Linked DNA regions of Drosophila melanogaster. The protein of the gene in region 2 interacts with the protein of the main gene of each other region in a pairwise test. Each region holds a gene or a part of one and is shown on either strand. Other genes may lie near its edges.

Evidence for each region.
Region 1: the proteins of CG12730 (region 2) and CG6126 interact in a two-hybrid assay, tested with the Drosophila melanogaster proteins (one large-scale study listed by BioGRID).
Region 3: the proteins of CG12730 (region 2) and RNASEK interact in a two-hybrid assay, tested with the Drosophila melanogaster proteins (one large-scale study listed by BioGRID).
Region 4: the proteins of CG12730 (region 2) and CG42495 interact in a two-hybrid assay, tested with the Drosophila melanogaster proteins (one large-scale study listed by BioGRID).

Annotation. Positions count from the first base shown.
Region 1 is NT_033777.3:16,197,454-16,204,886, forward strand, and holds CG6126 (uncharacterized protein), read right to left. Parts: upstream 5,631-7,433; 5' UTR 5,381-5,630; coding exon 5,338-5,380; intron 2,442-5,337; coding exon 1,807-2,441; intron 1,745-1,806; coding exon 755-1,744; 3' UTR 547-754; downstream 1-546. Other genes in the region: CG31287 (uncharacterized protein), read left to right, coding at 5,982-6,140, 6,195-6,497, 6,555-6,761; mtSSB (mitochondrial single stranded DNA-binding protein), read right to left, coding at 6,861-7,083.
Region 2 is NC_004354.4:5,514,751-5,519,324, forward strand, and holds CG12730 (uncharacterized protein), read left to right. Parts: upstream 1-1,857; 5' UTR 1,858-2,670; coding exon 2,671-2,748; exon of another isoform or gene 2,749-2,750; intron 2,751-2,821; coding exon 2,822-3,094; intron 3,095-3,293; coding exon 3,294-3,389; 3' UTR 3,390-4,021; downstream 4,022-4,574.
Region 3 is NT_033778.4:4,186,286-4,190,079, forward strand, and holds RNASEK (ribonuclease kappa), read right to left. Parts: upstream 1,843-3,794; 5' UTR 1,730-1,842; coding exon 1,661-1,729; intron 1,595-1,660; coding exon 1,475-1,594; intron 1,408-1,474; coding exon 1,309-1,407; 3' UTR 550-1,308; downstream 1-549.
Region 4 is NT_037436.4:18,665,396-18,668,663, forward strand, and holds CG42495 (uncharacterized protein), read left to right. Parts: upstream 1-1,965; 5' UTR 1,966-2,039; coding exon 2,040-2,184; intron 2,185-2,252; coding exon 2,253-2,398; intron 2,399-2,451; coding exon 2,452-2,589; 3' UTR 2,590-2,740; downstream 2,741-3,268. Other genes in the region: MYPT-75D (myosin phosphatase targeting subunit 75D), read left to right, coding at 303-859.

The DNA.
Region 1 (7,433 bases), on a different chromosome or scaffold from region 2:
CATACACATACATACGTTTATAAATCTATATGCCTACGTGTAGTTAAAATTTAAATTGAAAATATATTCAAATTCGAAATGAATGTTCTCAAATGTACCAAACAAAACAAAATGAAGAATTACCAAACAAGAAACAAAAACCGAAAAACCAAAACTCTCTCTTTAAACAAACTTTAATTGGCGGGTTAAACATCATGTGGAGCAAAGGGAAGCGATGGGTTATGGATTTGACATTGGAAATCCCTGTCGGCAATTGGCAATTCGATAGTGCAATTGAGTGGAAATTACTGAAACTTTGCAAGGCCAGACGAACCCGAATTGGCTGTGTCGGTCGGAGAATAAACTTTAATTGGAAATAGTTGGGAAATAATTTTTTGGTGTGTACTGGTTTTACCGTAGAGAAAATTGAAATTCAAGCTATGAATCTGCGCCTAAATTGATAGAGCCTAAAAGTAGACAACACTAATCAGTAAAAATGCTCGTCAAGCATTTAAATTTCCTTTAAACTAAATTTTACCACCGAAAAAATTAAAAGAAAAAATCCGTACAAACAACAAAGGGACACTCAGAAATGAGTGAATCCACAAATTAGGATTCCCCATATTCTGCACATCGTTTTATTCGCTTGGAATGAATAGAAACTATTAAATCTTACTACTAGGCAGAAGAGTAGAATTCTTAACAAGAAAACACAGGGTAACAAGGAATTTAAGCTGGATTTTGGACTTGGGAAACAATCGTCTTTGGCTAGGTTCTACTTGCTCTCGATGTTCTTGAGCGGCACCATTTGCTCCGGATCGTCGGGATATACGCTATTCTGGCGCTTTTTGCGACCAGCACACTGACTGAACCAAGTATCTCCCTTTCCGAAGTTCTCTCCATCCTCAATGGACTCGGGCATGGGCTGGTTCATTGTCTCCGGCAGGAACATAACCCAGAAGCCCGAGATCAGGGCCACCACGCCGAACAGCACGGCCGGTATCTTCGGATCAAATGAGTCCAGCAATGTAATGAGCGGAGTAAGGGCTCCCGACAAACGGGCACACATCGATCCCAATCCCATGGCCGAGTTCCGCACCACGGTGGGAAACAGTTCGGCTGAGTAATTGTAGATTACGGCAAAGGAACCGGCGATGAGGAGCTTTCCTGCCATTACCACCGCCGTGGAGGTGGTGCTGCCCTGGGCAATGTAGGCGGCCACAATGCAGCATAGACCGCCACCCAACATCAGGGTGGAGGTGATCGATCGACGACCCAGGCGATCTAGGACGAACACAATGGTTATGTAGCTGGGGAACTCCACGAGGCCCATGATGAACAGGATCAGGTAGGGATTTCCATACAGCTTGCCGGCACTGAGCGATAGTCCGTAATAAACCAGAGAATTGGCGAACCAGCAGAGGCACACGTTCAAAGTCTTCATCCTCAAGTTGGGCGTGCGGAAGAGGTCGCTCAATCCGGCGCTGGATTTTTCTTCGGCCGCCGCCTGCTGTTTGGCTTTCTGCACATAGTACTCCTTGTCCACCGGGATGCCCGATCCGTTGATTCTCAGGCCCTTGGCCACAATATCCACCGCCTCGGCGGCACGTCCCTGCATCCACAGCCAGCGCGGAGATTCATCGAGCCACCACCAGTGGCCCAGGAACAGACAGCCATGCAGTCCGTAGATCACTTGGAGCCACTGGCGGTCAGGGATGAGTGCTCCCCATCCGGCCACCAACATGATGCCACCAGCGAAAACAGCCTAAAAGTATTGCATGGTATAGCCAGTTTAAAAAATGCAAAATCTATTGAAGTCTTCCTCACCTGGAAGGTAATGCCGCACACAGTACGCTTGGTAGGTCCCACCAGTTCCATGGTCAGCACGAACCCACAGATGTAGGCACCCGCTGATCCCACAATGCCCAGCAGGTAGCGAGCCACCATGAATGAGAAGTACTCGGGAATGAAGGCCACACCCACACCGATGATCAATTGGAACAGGGCCGACCAGCAGAACACGGTTTTCCGACCCACTTTGTCGGCGAGTCCGCCAAGGGTGACTGCGCCTGTGAACACGCCCAGCATGAACACGGTCTGCACAATGGCTCCCATCCAGCGGCGATCGCACACAAAGTTCCAGTCGATGGTGCGCGAAGTCTTGTAGTACGTCGTGTCGTATACGTAACGTTCGCAATTGATGGTGGTATTGGTGCCAGGACTACTGGGATCGAACATGAGGCAGGACTCTAGCTCGCCATTGGGCTTCAGCGGAATGGCGGCCAGGATAGCGCTCGAGTTCCATGGTGTCACCGACAAGCTGCTGTTATCCACGCCCTCGATGAAGCAGCGATGCTCAGGCACGGCGGCCACCGTGACCAGCGATAGCATGTGCATGCCAGCGGTCAGGCCGGAGAGCACCTGCAGGAAGAACTGCAGGAACTGGTACTTTCCAAACTCCCCTGCAATTGGATAGAAAAAAATAGAAAGACATTTCACAATCATTAATGTCTTGGGAAAGGTTATGAGCGCACAACAAATGTGAGCTTTCAGCAACATGATAGATAGTGATAATCTGTAGCACCCATGAATCACCCAGTTTACGATTAAATATAATAAAAAGAAAGTAAGTTGAGCTGAAAACGGAAGTTGTTCTAGCTCAAATTATTTAAAACGGTTTTTTATTTCAGTATTTGAATTTGAACATCACGTAGCTGCGATAAAAACACAACCCAAAGAAACAGCCGACTTTTATGTAGATGGGAACTTTTAATGGGTATCGCTGGAATTGTCGTCACTCCAAAGGCTTTGCAATTAAATCAAGTGGAATTTATTCAATTCGATTTCAATTGAAGCGCATTCGCCTAGCCCGTCAAATATTTGCCCACAGTTTGGTTTGGTTTGGTTTTGGTTTCGAACGCCATGAAAAGAGACTCGGATGTCTTGGGAGAATGCACTGAATCGATTATGACTTGGCTGGTCAGTCAGTCCATGGCGATCGCGTTGATGGGAGGCCAGGGGCTGTGTAAATTTCTAACGACATGGACAGTATGTAGCCTAGATACGAGAATTTGACACTTGATCACGGTCCAATGTTCAATCAGCCGTTTCAATTGATTTGTGGGTTACGTTTATTGATCGTTTAAACGAAACTCTTGCCATCAAATGAAAAGTTACGTTCACCCCGGTTACGTTGCAATCGACAAATCATGAGTAAAACGTCTGAGAATTTTCATTTTTCATTATTAAAACGATTGCGTGAAGTGTAAAATTATGTCATCGGGTTGACTTAATTAATCTCAATTATAAAATTTGACTCTACGCCTAATGAAATTCAATTACGCCCCCAATAGACATAATCAGCGTATAATTGAGCACAATCTAGGAAATCGATTGGCCAAATTTGTGATAACTAAACTCGTAATAGTAAATACTAATGTGGAACTCATAGCGGATTATCAGAGGCCACCAAATGCTAGATCATATATCAGTGATATTGTTGCTTCAGATTTATTGCATCCGTCCAATATAACTAGCCGTATAATTGTTGCCAAGTGGCCCTTGAATACGACATTTGTTTTTGGCCCTGTCAATGTTTGTTGTTCTCTTAATCGTAAGCCATCTATTATGATGTACAAAACCAACAGTTTGCACATTAAAATGAATATGGCGCAGGTTTGGACCGTTGTTTATTCTGGGCAAACTTTTTGAGCGATAAGTGAGATGGATAAGAACACGGAATATTAAAAAATAATGCAGTCATATTTCTAACAATATTGCACATGTATATTAATCTACTGTTATTCTACTATCAACTGTTGCTTTATTTCAGAGTTGATTTCTTCAAAGCTTTTAAAATTTCCTTTGTGCTTAAGTATCATGATTCGAATAATTGAGGTAGATCATGGTTTTACACCTCCACTTTAAGGCTTCCTTCGGTTTTTGTTCATCCGTACTTCAACATTTTCACTTCCCGCGTTTACTAACAACTGAAGGTCGATTTAGTTCTGTTCTGTGCTCTCCACATAGCACGTGTGGAAGTGCTCTCAAAGTCATTTTAAGTTGCTGGTTTTATGGTAACCTTCTTACGTACAAATAACAACCAACTCAGCAATGCAACACGCCTCCAAATTCGAAGTAATTAGAGTTGCTGCTCGCCAATAGGCCTTCAACAAAGTAAACAGAAATAAAAGAGCGATATGTGAATTTTGATGGCTGAGGGAGGTATTGCCATATAGTTGAATGTGAGCAAACCAGTTTAAGGTTTTTTGCATTTCACAGATACAAATGTATGCGAATATATTACGAATAAAAAAGTCGCTAATGCGATTATTACTCCCTCTCTCCTGTCACTTTCTTATAGGCTGCGGTTTTGCGAATGCTTAATACAAAACCAGTTTCGGATTGTAAAAAACTGTTCTATTTTAATTAACGACAATTTCAGCACAATCGTTGACACAAATTTTATATTCCAACTCATATTTTATGTGACTCATAAATTTCTAATTTGTAGCCGTGACAAATAAAACTGTTTATCCATCGATCTTCCACTGTATTCCCACAATTAATCTTAACTATTTTGCATACTGCATATAAACACGCTTAATTTTGTAGCTTCCACAAGCTAGCTGCAATGTTTGAACCGCACAATTAGAGTATATAATAAATTATAAGCAAATACCCAGATATCCGTAGATCCCAAGATCTTTATGACGAGCCTACTTCACAGTCTTGTGACAGATACCGCCCCTTTTGCACCCGTTTTATTTTTGTTTGCCTGTTAGCCGCCACACTCGTTTTAGCGTCACTGTGCTAAAGCCAAGTAGGCTCAACAAGTGTCAGACAGCCTCCAGCTCAGAACTTGGCCCACACGAACATGTGTCGACTATATGTGTACATAAATACATACTTGGTATGGTATATAGTCAAAAGGGGAGCAACAGGTCGGAGTCTCTATCAAGCTGTCATAAATGTCTGTCACTTGGTGGCCTCGACGATTTATTAAATTAAGAATAGTGCAAAATGAAAATGAAAATAGTTGCAATTAAAAAAGTATTATAGTCGGCTTCTTTTGAGCACTTGACGTGACGGACAGCCAGCCGGATAGATTAGGCGGAGATTAAAAGCATAATACGGAAAAATTAATTATAGATTTTAAAAGCAGAACAGAAGGTTGGGCGGTAAACCTCATTGGTCGTCGTGAAACAAAATATTATCCATAGTAGCTTGCAACGCTGATAAGACCTCTCAAAATGATAAGCATAACGCCAGGCTCTTATCAGCACGGGATGGAGACGCCTGGCAACGTAACAGCTGACCTTTCAAAAGTCTTCGCTCCCAAAAGCCCATTCCACTCACCAAGTTTCCCCATCAGGTCCTCCAGTACATAATCCACAGCCATGTTTGATTTTTTATTGATAATCAAAAATAAATGAAAGTAACTGTTTGCTATTGCTTCTTAACAAATCGTCATCTTCTGCAGAAGTGGAGCATGTATGAATGGCACACCAGTGCAGCACTGCTGATAGTTACGGGTCGCGAAGATGCAAAACGAATCCGGGATAAACAACGTGCTCGAGTGAAACAAAATCGCAAACGGAGCGCTCGATCAGCTATCAACTCTTCCGACCGCCGGCAGCATTTGAACTGGCAAAAACTAACTGCGAACTGTGTCGCTCAGCGAGAAAACTGAGTGGTAAATGGCGATAAGGTCGCTCCAAGCTCGCGAGCGAAGAGAGCTTGTGGAGGTCTCCAAAGTTGGGAACTAAAGAGCAAACTCTGCTCGAGGGTAAGAGCTTCAAAAACTGTAATCACCATTATAATCCTTGATGTATGAAAATAAATGATGCCTCTTGGCAAGGATCCCTTAGATTAGAATACGATCAGAAAACTCATACCTTAGCAAGCTTTGATTTGCCTAACACTCAGTGACAAACAAAACATAAGTCACAAAAACACATACAAAAAATACATAAAATTCATTTAAAGTTAATTTTAAAATTATGTGTGAGCCAAACTTATCAGATCCGTCGACATTCCTGTACTTGGATATGCTGGCGGATATTTTAATGCAGGACAGCCTTGAAATGGAATCAGATTTCAATACCAAGTTAAAATTTCTTAAGGAACAGGAACAAATTTGCCTAGACAATGCCAAAAATGTGAGACTCAATGGCCATAGGCAAACAGGATATAAATTTTTCATACTCCAACAGGCACTTCCCATCGATGATACCCTGAGATCAGTAAAGTGCACCATGCTTAGGGTAGAAATGGAGCTGCATGAAAACGAGATTAACCTTATACAGGCGGAGAAAGCAGTTACGAAATTGGAGCAGAGCTATCCGAGTCCTGAGAGTCTGGCAGGCCAAGTGTTTCCTTTGGCAAGTACCACATATCAGGATTTGCTGAGTATGCTGATGTCTTCGAAAAAAACAGTCGATCATTGCAATCAGATCAAAGAGGAGGTCGCGACGTATAATGAGCAGATATCCGCAAAAGTACCTTCCGTAAATTTGGTATGAAATGATGACTAAAAGTTGTATTTAGAGTTTCTAAAGTGAGTGTATCAACAGGTAACCAAGCTTATCGATTACCACAATAATACACTGGAGTCTATGGAAAAAAATATCGAAAAATTGAAGAGCCAGGTCACACAAGTTCAAAAGGAGTTCGAGCAGCTTTATAACGAACATGCACGCCAATTCAACGCACCGTTCCCATGCAAAAAGGTCAAGGAGTTAAAACCAAAAGACACATGTGGAGTACGACTACGCATGTAATCTGATAACACAATATATCCAACGAATATTATAAATGCTTACAATGCTGCAAGTTCAACTTTTCGCTTAAGATTAGGTTTGGTGATCTGGGCTTAAATTTTAGTTGTTGGCATCACGGAAAAACAACACATCGTCGGCTATGATACTGGTGCTAGTCTTCTGGTTGCCCTGCTGGTCGGTGATCTCTCCATAGGTGATCTTTCCCTGCACCATGGTTCGCTGTCCCTTCTTCAAGTATTCCAGCACGGTGTCACGCAGATTGGGCTTGAACACCACTACACGATGCCAGTCGGTGCGTTGGGCCCAGTCGCCGTTCTCATATCTGTGGGGAAATATTTAAGACTTCATGAATGCTTTTTAAATGAAATGGTAGCTATTTTCTTTATGAAATCCGGCATTTCATGGATCCTAAGAAGAAATTGATCACTGAAGTTAATTGAACAAGGAAATGTACACTATTGCCGTTATCATTAGGTAATTACATACAGCAAATGTTCTAATAACTCATTACATAAATCTGAATTAGCAGCTCAACGTGATATTTTCTTGGAGGTTAAGGCTAAGAACTAACTTAATTGTCAACATTTATGTAGCTTTTTTATTTCCCTCCTCTGAGATGTGATTTCAAGTTCAGTTGCAGACGCATGCTGGGCGGCAAAACGCACACAAATG
Region 2 (4,574 bases):
AAAGCGCCCAAAGTCGAAGGGAATATCAGATTCAAATTCACTTGGCAGATATGCTGAGGTCGTTGCTATTTTTGGGGTATTTCGGGATTCGAAATTAGGGGGGGTGGTCTTGGTCTTGTCACGTCAGCTGCAGAGTCTGACAGCCACTGCACGAAATTTGCATTCAAATCGAGCCGTGTATCTGGGCAACTTAGTATCTGTATCTGACAGATACCCAGCTGGCACACTTCTTTGTCGAGGTTGAGAAATGGCTACGGCCCAACTTGCCGCTTTCTTTCGAACTTCCTTCAAAGTGCCTGAAACTAATTATCTGCCTGCTCGCAAACGTTTACTCCAACTTTCGTTTAATTGGTCATAGTTATCGCCAAGTTTGTCATTATTAAAGATGCTTCTGATGCATCTGAAACTGGATTTTTTCAGCCAGAACACTGCTTAATAGCTCACATGTCGCTTTGCCTTTGGTCCTGCTCCACGTTATCCCGTCGCCAAAGCAAACAAAATCTTGCTGATGCAGCAGCTGGCAATTACAGCGAATGCTTTTCTAATTAGATGCACCCACATTTTCCAATTCCCCCCGGCCCCGCCCCCCTCTCTCTCCGCTGCTCTACAACATGGGTGGAAAAGCGATGGAAATTGCCTGAGTGCGTAAGCGAAAAACCAGCCATGTGCATGAATCGTAGGCGAGATATATCACTAAACAATGCACTCTCAGCAACGTGCCACTGAGTATAAGTTGGATATTTAGTTAAAAACTATTTAGATGCTTTTGCTGTTATTCAGTGGTTTAAAGCGCACATTTATAAAGTCCTCTGTGCACTTATCGAATTCAAAGTCCTAAAGAAATCAAAGAAATGTCCATAGGTAATCATAGCTTTTTGCCATTGAGACTCGCACGCCCTCAAGTGTAAATCCGCTCTCCAGTCAATTTTCTTCGCTTTTCCGCCGCACATTTTCCCCGCTTGTCCAGACGATTCGATGCTTATCGATGAGCGCAAATCTCGTGCCTCCCATATTTATGTATATATATATGTTTATACATATATATGCATGAGCTTTTAGAAATCATGTAGACATTAGTTGCCCTGCAGTCGTCTGACTGTTTGTTACCCTCGAAATGGAAACTGCACTTTATCGCTTAAATTGCTCAAGTGCAGTTCATTTATGATTTTCGTGCTCATTTCCGCTTGTTGTGGCCGATTTCCGTCGCATAGATATCTCACTCAGCATTTTCCGCTCTGCATTAGAATATGTGAATCTGTGAAACTGTGAATGTCTCTGAATCTCAGTCAGTCGAGGCGATTGTGCAAGTGACCTTGGCCAGGAGGCGGGGGCCACCCATGCGGCCATTTCGTAAACGAGCCACCTCTCATGAATATGAGTCAATTAATATAACTCAATTTGATGTCGGGCCAGAGTGTTTCGACTGCTACCCTATACAAGTATCTATGCATTTTCAAGAACTTTAACAATTGAATGTGGAAAATAGTACATGAGTAGCGAGAAATCAAAATTAAATGAATGAAAAAATTGTATCTGTAATATCTTTGTAGCTTTGTATCATAAAATTTTTTTCTTTTGTATGGAGTAGTGTGTTCAAAGTTCGTCAAACTTATCTGGCCACCAAATGGTTTGTGTATATTCACGTATTCCGTATGATATGTGCTGGGCAGCTTGTGTTTTGCAATGTGAATCACGACGAAATTGCATTTGATTTTGGGAGGCTCGCATTTGCATTCGCATTCGGATTTGTGCAGCGATTTATCCGTTAAGTAACTAAATCAATTAGCCTGCTGTGCCGATTAAAATAACGAGAAGCGTTTCGGTCATAGCCGATAACAAATACGATTCGAATGGCACAATCTAATGATGCTGGGCATTAAGATACAGATGGAAATTCGAATGCACAGTGGTCCAAAAAGGGCCCAACCTCAAACTGCATGTCACAAGCAATGCCAGTCATAAAAGCTCGGCACTTCACACGACTAAAAAAGCTTTGCTCACCCAGTAACCGGTCACCTTGCCTTATGAATATACATATATTTAATATATCCCTGGAGGTCAGTGAGTCACACCGTGTTAGATTCACCCCTTGACATCCCCCGAACGAAAATTAGTATAATGTAACGAAGAAGCATTCACAATGAACAGACCCCCAAAACTACAGTTAGTAAGACAAGTTAATATGGTTTATTCATTTATTGGAAATTACAGCTTTCTTAAACTAATAATCCTATTTTTTATAAATACCCAGCTAAAGCTAATCTCCTTAATATTTATAGTTTCATTAGATACCATTTGAGTAGATAACACAATTTGTACACAATATGTACTACATTTCCTGATCGTTTCGTCCCACTGTGCCATGTGTTGCTCGCTCTCTGTCTCTCTCTCTCTCTCTCTCTCTCTCTCTCTCTTTCGCCCGCTGCTTCTCTCGCTCTCGCAATTGTAGTTTTATTCGCCGAGTGTAACGATGGGAGAATTCTGAGTATTTGTGTTGTTTGTATTACTTCAGTGGCATTCTGTGCGTGCTGGCGAGCGCAATATGAATTAGTCAGCGGCGCTTCGCTACATTTGCTACATTGGCTTTAATCGCTCGTTTCTGAGGCATCTATTCGGCTGGACAATCTGGATTAACTGCATCCAAAACGTATATATCTTGTATTGGCCGCGATGTCGTTGACGGGAACCCAGGACTACGATCGCAAATACCTGCTCAGCATGCCGGGCCTGTGCAAGCTGGCCTGTTTGGTAATTAGCCTTACACATATGTGCCATTGTGTATCGCCCTTAATGTGTGCGCTTGTATGTGTGCGTCTTTCAGCTGTGCAGCTTTGTTGGAATATTGTGCATCATCTGCGGACCGGTGCGCGTGAGCAATTTCCGCGGCAGTTTCTACCTGGCCGTAGTCACCATCGGATTCGTGGCCACCGGCTGCCTGCTCCTGGCCAGGTATCTCCGGTTGTGGCAGCGCCAGTTCTGCCGATGCGATCCCACGCTCTGGTCCCTGGCGGTGCACTCCTCATTGGCCCTGGCCTACTTCACGGCCTCCGGACTCGTACTCTCCCTGGATATTGGAGCCTATACGGCGGCGGCGGTAAGTGGCGTTCTCGCAGTTAGGATAAGTTCGGAAACCAAAAGTATTACGGCTCATTGTTTCGGCTAATGATTAAGCTAGGAAAGATACTGGTAAACGAAACACTGAGCCTCCAGTTGGAGCCGATTCATTCCCTCGCTGTGATGAACTCTCTGTAGATCCGTCTAATACACCCTATTCTTCACCTTTTTTTTTACAGTTCTTTGGCCTGACAGCATTTTGCATCAACGGACTGGAGGCCTATGGAAACTATCGGCGCAGTCGCCAGCGGGAGGTGGCCACCCAAACGATATAGACTTGGTTTCAGGTGCACGAACCCAGCTTTTGGTGGCTCTTACTACGTTAGGCTTACTCTGTGTGTGTATCTGTGTGAGAGCGAGTATCTGTGTGCGAACGAGTATCTGTGTGAGTGCCAGTGCGTGCGCGTGTGTGTGAGTTTGTTTTGAGAGAGCGAGTATCGCTTGCGTTTGCTTGAAGCATTTAAGTCTGAAGTTTGAAATTGTGGCAAGCTTTTGTCGCGGGAACAGTTACCGTATGTGTTATCTAATAGTCGCTAGATATAGGTCAAGAAGTGAAGAAGATAAAGCCAGTCGATCGCAGCAATAACGTAGATATAATAGCGAACAGAAAGCGAGAGAAAACCACTAACAAGAGAGCAAATTCCAAAGAGATAAGTTGTATTGTGCCTTCTGGCTCTGCTTCTTCCCTTCTTCTGATAACTGGTTAACAATGCGTGAATATATATGTACATATATATACCCGATTTTTTTTTTACTTTTATTAAGTACATAGTATTTGTGTGTCTCAAGTGAATATACATTGAAGTAGTTAGTTTTTAGCACAATGCTTTTCATGACCACTGAATTGTTGTATTTATAAACAAATAAATCGTTTGCAATGGAAGAATAAAACAAAAATACATAAATGTAATTTGTAAATGAAGGGTGTTTTTTAATGATGAGAGTTCATATGCGTAAATTGGGCTTGAATGTCAATTGTTGATCGTGCATATTGTTATTGATTCATTTACGCAAAAGGCCACTTTCCCGAGGCTATTGTTTATTTATTTTACTACACGAACTACTTTTGCGACCATGTTTGCTTGCACAACAAGCTATTTTCACCTAACATTGCCGGATAGAATTTTTGCAACCGGCGCTCCATGAAAAAGATATCGCCAACCTTTGTTTACCTTATCCGCATTGAAACTGAAAATAAACAGGTACACTATGGTGCCCCCCTGTCTGATTTTGCTTCTTGTTTCGTTTTCGTTTTGGTTTCGGTGCTCTGTAAGCTGTTGCCATTGTTGGCTTTTCAAATCTTTTGAACCACCCACAAACGCAACAACCATCATCACCCAACAAGCAGCACCCAACGCCCACAAAAAAGCACTTGGCTCGTCTATTGTTTGTGTTGTTTTTGGGGGCTCCCGCCTCATTATTATTACTTTTGTTGCCAGTTTGATGAAGTTTTCGCCTCG
Region 3 (3,794 bases), on a different chromosome or scaffold from region 2:
GCATGAGCATACGTGTGCACACATACAGTTGTCTGCTATCACTGCAGGCGTCGAAAAGAGCTGTTCGCTGTAGCGCTCTCCGCTCTCTCGCTCTCGAACAAAAATTTGAGAGTATGGCACTACGCATCTGTTACTCTAGTGTCTTCGGTTCGGTGACTTGGTCCCTGTCTCCGGCTCGATGAACCAAAGGCAATGTTTGACGACCCTAAACGAAAATGCGTTTCCTTCTGGAAATAGGCTGATCGAGGATCATTTATCCTGCAGAAAGATTATGCTCCGTGCCACAAAGCCCGAATGATAGCCAAGTTTCTAAAGGCTGTTGGCGTCACTCTCTTGAATTGTGCACCTCAAAGTCCAGATTTAAATATAATTAAGAAATCTGGTCTCTTTTAAAACGGAAAATAACTGTTCCGTGACACAAAACTCGTTAGAAGGCGATTTCTGAAATCACTTCTCTTTTTAAAGAGATGATCCTTTACAATATGGAGGATTTAGTAAAGGTTCGACTTACTTACACACAAAAAATAGACATTACTATCATATTAAACCATTTAAAAGTTTCACTGAAAAAAGGTTTGGAGTTTATTTTGTCAAAATGCTTACCGACTAGTGTATGTGGATACAGCAACACAGCGCACAAGATAATCTCGTGTTCATATGTACATGTTACAGAACGACGTAACGTAACATAATTAATTACCAGCTTGATATAGGAAATCAAGACAGTAATGACCTTACTAACTACTTTAATTAATTTATAAATAAAATATTTGTAAGTTGGGTAATTTAATAATAGCTATCAACAAAATTAAAAACAGTACGAATAATTCATGTCTCGCCAAACCGTTCCACACAATATCAGTAATAACCGTAATAAACATTTAAAATACCTTTTTTTAGGTCTTCCGTAGGTAAAATTCCCGTGGAGAAATAAAATATCATTTCAACAATTTGTTCAGATTGACCTCTTTAATAAAAAAAAGTGCTTTCATGACTCTGAAGGAAATTCCGGAGTTTGGATTTATCGCTACTATAGTAATCAAATATATTAATTCTCAAAATTTAAATATATAACAGAAATAAGAAGTGAATGGCGCACTGAACACATGAAACATAAAAAATGAAGTGAATAGTCTTCTTTGGGGTTTAAAAAACACAAACTCCTCACTCCGCCCCTTAATACAATAAGCATGTTGTAACATTTAAATTGAACTTTAACTTTATTAAAAGGAAAACACCTCTAACAAATATATCGAAGGGAAAATTTCAATACTAGTTTTAAGTAGTTGGGAAACTACATCTGAAATATTAGTTGGCAGTTACTCTGCTATTCATGTAAAATTGCTGGGCGGAGAGCAACAAAGTCAAAACATATATACATGCGGCAATCCAGCAGTTGTAGGCATTCTGAAAAAATTTACCTTGCATTAGCAGACGTATGTGTACATATGGTTGTTGTAAAAAGAGAACATACCTGATTGTATGCTCTATTTGCAGCTGCATAAAAATCTTCCAACGAATGGTATTCCTCCTCAAGAGGTAAGTCCTCAATGAGGGCTACACTATTTATGTAGAAGAATAGACCCATTAAAACCTTTAACATAAATATGTAAGTGGTTACTTTTTGAAACTTTGACGAAATTAGATTCTCAGTACTCACCAATTGGACAATACCCCAAACAGAGATAATAAGACCACAAAGTGATAGTTTCGGGCCACAGATTTTCATTTTCTTAAATTTTTGTTAAACACTTTTAAGAGAATAAAAAGTTTCAGCAAACACAATTCGTCACAATTCCTCAATGAAAACTGTGATTTTGTCAGGTGAACATATCATGTGACCAAACTTTTGGTGTGGCTGTGCACAAATAAAATTAAAAAACTGATGCAAATGTAAGCGATAAAAAACATAAGCTCGTCAAACTAGCGTCGGTGAGCTAGTGACGATTTAGGAGCGGTGGAAAAGGAACAAGGGCCGTTTTAGTAATTTTAGTCACTGCCCGGAGCGTGTGAAGCGCAATGGTCAACATTCTACTGCCCGGAGCGTGTGAAGCGCGATGTCAGCATTCTGCCGTGAGCGCTGCTTCAGAAAACGGGCTACTTCATATTAAGCTTAAGTTTTCTGTCTTTAGTTTTAAAACTCATCAGAACGCGCATAGTCGCATAATAAATCGCAATACACAAAATCGTTGCCTGTTAATTTATATAACAATATATATATAATATATTATAATATATATATTATATATATATATATATATATACAATACAATACAATAAGTATAATAAATAAATATATATATACATATATATATATATAATAATAATAATTTTAATATTATTAATTTTATTATTATAATTATTAATATTTTAATATATATGTCGGAGATTGAGTAGATCTAACATATTATTTGAATTATTATTTGAATGTAACCGACATTTGTTTATTGATCCGTATGTTAAGGATGAGCAGCGAGTAATAAAATTCACGGAATGAGTTCCGTTATTGAGTGGGCATCATTTGTGTGTGTATTCAAATTAGCATGGCGCCTGTTGTTGTTGTGGTAGAGTTTTGTGGAAACGAAGTAAGGATAAAACAAAAAAAGAATTTTGAAGATGAGAAATAGAAGAATAGCATCGAGAAGGCGACGCTTGAGTAAATAAGTCTGGTGAGAACTGCCAAAGAGACAACACGCAGGCGACTTGCTGTGCTAATTAATTGGACGCTCGGCTTCACCGACATATATATATTATATTATATCATATATATATATTAACATATCCATTCTATACCCACAACTCCCCAACCACACACACTATCGTAAACAATTACACACACACATCAATGTGTAAGTACGAAATGTAATTAAAGATCGAGAGCCCTTCGATTAAGCTTAGCTGTCAATTACTCACAGCAAAGTGCAAAAGTCCGAATTCCAAAGTCTAGACTCTGCGTCGAGCCAACGTCCACGTCCCCTAAATATCCGATCACTTGGTGAACCAACTGAAATAACAAAAACTTCCGCCCACACAATCGTCTCAGGATTCTCCAATTAATCCTATTTTTCGGAAGCTCCTCTCTTAACAGGAGAATAGACGTTGATAACGTTGTTCTCTTAAGCTTCGCTCTTAAGCTATCCCAATCTGCCTACATAAACCCAAACATGCCCCAATACGTTAGTTCAGTTCTGAGTACGTTATCAATCGCCATAACCCTGCTTAAGATTGAACCACGCGAATCGGCGCTAAAGTGAACATAAAATCGTAATACAATTAACTCTTTTATCCGCAAAAGAACTACTTATAATCGGTGGTTGACACGCAATAGTCAAACCTACTGCATACGGTCAATAAAAGTGTAAAAACAAAAATAAAAATAAAATCATCAGCCATGGCAACCGAGCAAGTCAAACTGTTATCGGAATCCCATCTGAATCAAGCCTTAAGCCAAATTAGGCAAATACCCACATTCAGTGGTAATACCCCAGAACTCAGTGCCTTTATCCGAAAGATCGATTTCATACTTCCAGTCTATCCATCAACCGACACCAGTTAAAAACATGTATTCTTCAGCGCAATTGAGATGCAACTCGCCTCGCGCGATAAACGAGTTCACATGCGTCTGATTTGGTTTTTCCAAAAATATTGACAACCTACAATTTCGTCTTGTCTTATTTTTTGATAGGGTTTTATCAAAGACTCTAGAATAACAAGATGCGTACCGCCATAACGACTTTTTGGCACACGATTTTTTCGGCGTGGCTCTAGAGGTGGCTCCAGGCTCTCCCGAATTT
Region 4 (3,268 bases), on a different chromosome or scaffold from region 2:
GGAGCATGGCTGCAATAAGCATTAGCATTTGACTCGCATGTAACCTCCATCCCATCTACCCGATCACTCCCAATTGGTCAATGGGTATCTGCTAACTTAGTTCTCGGGAAAAGAAGAGAAGAAAAGTAAAATAACATTTGCTTGTTTCCGTTTCATTCTTTTTTGTTGTCGTTGTTGTGCCTCGTTTCGCCCGTTCTGTGTCGTCTGCCTGCCCGCATCATCATCAACAATAAAAACAACAACCACCGCACCACTAAACACCAAACACACCCAACGCCTTGCCAAAAACTTCCAACATCCAGACACCAATAGCACGCACCACCATCAGCAACATCAACAGCAGCAGCAGCAGCAGCAGCAACACCACCACCAGCAACACGTACTGCTGTTGCAGCAACACCAGCAGCTTCAGCAACATCAGCAGCAACAGCAACAGCAGCAGCAGCAGCAGCATGTTGCCTTGGATGGCTACAGCGCCACATTGGCCAATTTGAAGAAGCAACGCTCGCTTTCACGCACCGCCAATGTCCTCAATACTTTCGAATTGTCATCCCAAACAGCTAGCAATGCCCATCCAATTGCAGCAGCTAATGCCACAACAACTAATGGTTCTGTTTTAGGAGCCGGCGGCAGCAGCAGCAACAACAACAACAACCTGAGCACCAGCAACAACAACAACAACGGATCCGCACCGATCTCGACGCAGCCAACATTGGGTCACATGGGCGCGGGAAGCGTGCTATCCGACTTCGAGGGCTCCTCGCCGGCGGGCAGTTCGCTGAACAAGTTCAGCGGCATCACTGGCGACGTGGTCACCGATAGCACCAGTTCCAGTCGCAGGTGTTGCGTCCTGATGTAGAAACTTAGCGAACTACTAGAGTCACAGGGTATTAGAGCAGCCAGAATTGTCAGAGGGATAGGCCATTTGTTAAATGGCAAGAAAAAAGTGTCTTTTTATTAGATTAGCCGTATTCAGTGAGTGAATTGTTGAATGTTGATTACACAAATGCATGTTGGTTTTGAGAACGGGGTTCGATTCTGTGAGCTCCTAGATAACGGCTGAAAGTCGTTGCATTTTCCTAGCAGACACAACAACACACTAAAGACACACACAACCAATTATACGAAACAAATTTATACAAATATACAACCATATGTATACATTTTAAAGAATATTAAAAGAATTACGTATAAAATAATTGTGAGCAGTTTACCTTAGGCGATATATAACAACTAACTAAATCAAAATGAAAAAACATCAAAAAATATTTATATAGCAATGCTAAGTAAGAACCTAACTTAATAGATTTGCTTGGAGTGCATTAGGAATATCTGTGTTTCCGTGTGTGAGTGTTACAACCGAAACAGGCGAAGTATTATGCAACAAGTAAATATTTAACTAAATATATAGTACGATAGCAAAATTGTAGTTAAACCGTGACAGCAAAGTAAAGCAAAGCAATGAGACGAAATGCATAGCACTCAAGCAATTTCCACATATAAGTGTCTAAATGTTTGAATTGAAGGAATGTTAATAATGCCAGGCGGCATAGAGATTTATTTTTTAATGCAACTACTTTGCTCTGCGTTATGTAAGTTGAGTTTTGTTGAGAGGTACAAGAATATATGTATTATTTATGTAGCAGCGGTCTTTGTATATAAACCTACACAATTCCAAAAGATGCAAAAACAACGCGCAATTAGCAAATGAGACTTTTTCGATGAATGTCAAGGCATTAGCTGAACGTTTTGTAAAATAAACAAATGAAATACGAAAAAATTACACACAAATTTGATTTGATTTTGCGCCAGTTAGTTTTTTATATTCCTGTGCTTATATTTCTTATGAAGAATGAAGTTGAAGTAAATATCTACTCTTTTAAATCTCGCGCCAAGGTGCTCCACCTGGCGGGATTTTAATGAACCGCAAGCTTGTCATATGGAAGTAAGTTGGCAGCTTTGCGCATCAGCTGTTGCCTCGTTCGACTTTTGTTTACATTTTTATTGGTTTAAACTTATAAGTTTAAAGATCTAACCTAATGGAATCACTCGCAAAATATCGATACAGTTTGGTGGCTGGCTCCTTCGCAGCTGCAGGAAGCTTTTTCGGAAAACTTCCCAGCCACCTGAGCGCCCAAAAACTACTGAATACTTCGCAAATAAATGAAGACTTTTCTTATTTAGGCAAGATTGTGATTTCTTCAAACAAGCAAAATGTTTATAAATTTATAAAATTTTATTTTATTTATTAGAAATAGCATTACTTCAGCTGCTGCCACTAGTGTTAATGGTAACATGCAACGTTTGCAACTTGCGTTTCTTTTTGAAGGCCCTGCAAATGACTGAACAAACTTTAACGTGCGTCGTTTTAACTGCCGCTTCGAATTATGTCTTATCGGTAGGTGATCCACCGATCTATTTGTTCAATTATGATTACTGTTCGTTATATAGTTTGTCCTAGGTGCGCTTGTTTATCGGGAGCCACTGACAGTACTATCTGGCATCGGAATAACTCTCATTCTGGCTGGTCTTTGGTTTCTTTGCGACGGAGGAACAGTCGAGTCCGAAAAGCAGGACAAAATGGAATAGTAGGAATGGGATTTGCTTAAGATTAGCTTCTTTTATACACATTTTTCATTTGCCATATAACTTTCTGAAGCAGGGATAAAAATAGTTAAAGAAACTTAATTTTCCATTTGTAACTTTAAAATATAAAAATGTTGGGAACCCCAATTAGTCCAAAAAAACGAATGGTTTATATACTTTTGTTTAATGTATGTACTGTTTTGCAAATACATAGTTTTCATTTCATTTATAATGCACTGTTAGTGTGCACGCTTCTTCATTCACGCGGCAATAATTACAACTATTATGTTTTACGTGGTTTTGTATTTTTGTTTTCATCGTTTGTGTGTAAAAGTTTGGCAGAACAAAAAAAGGTGTTGAAATGGGATAGAGCATGACAGTAAGAGCACAAACTATAAATATATTTATCCCTTCGTTTATATATATAGGTAATAGTAATTAATTTTTATAATTCAGAATCGTTATTTAATTGCTAAGACGTATAAATACTTTTTATATTCTTTCTCTCGACATCTGTAATCATCAATCAGCTTCAACGCAGCCAAACAGACAAAAAGTAAAATCAAGCAAGAAATGGCAGATCCAAGTTACATACAAGTTTTGCCCATCTGTCGTTTGTTTTCCTTGGACGAAGTAGTGTTGTGTCCTGTCCTATCCTGTCTGGGAGTTTTAGAAACCCTTG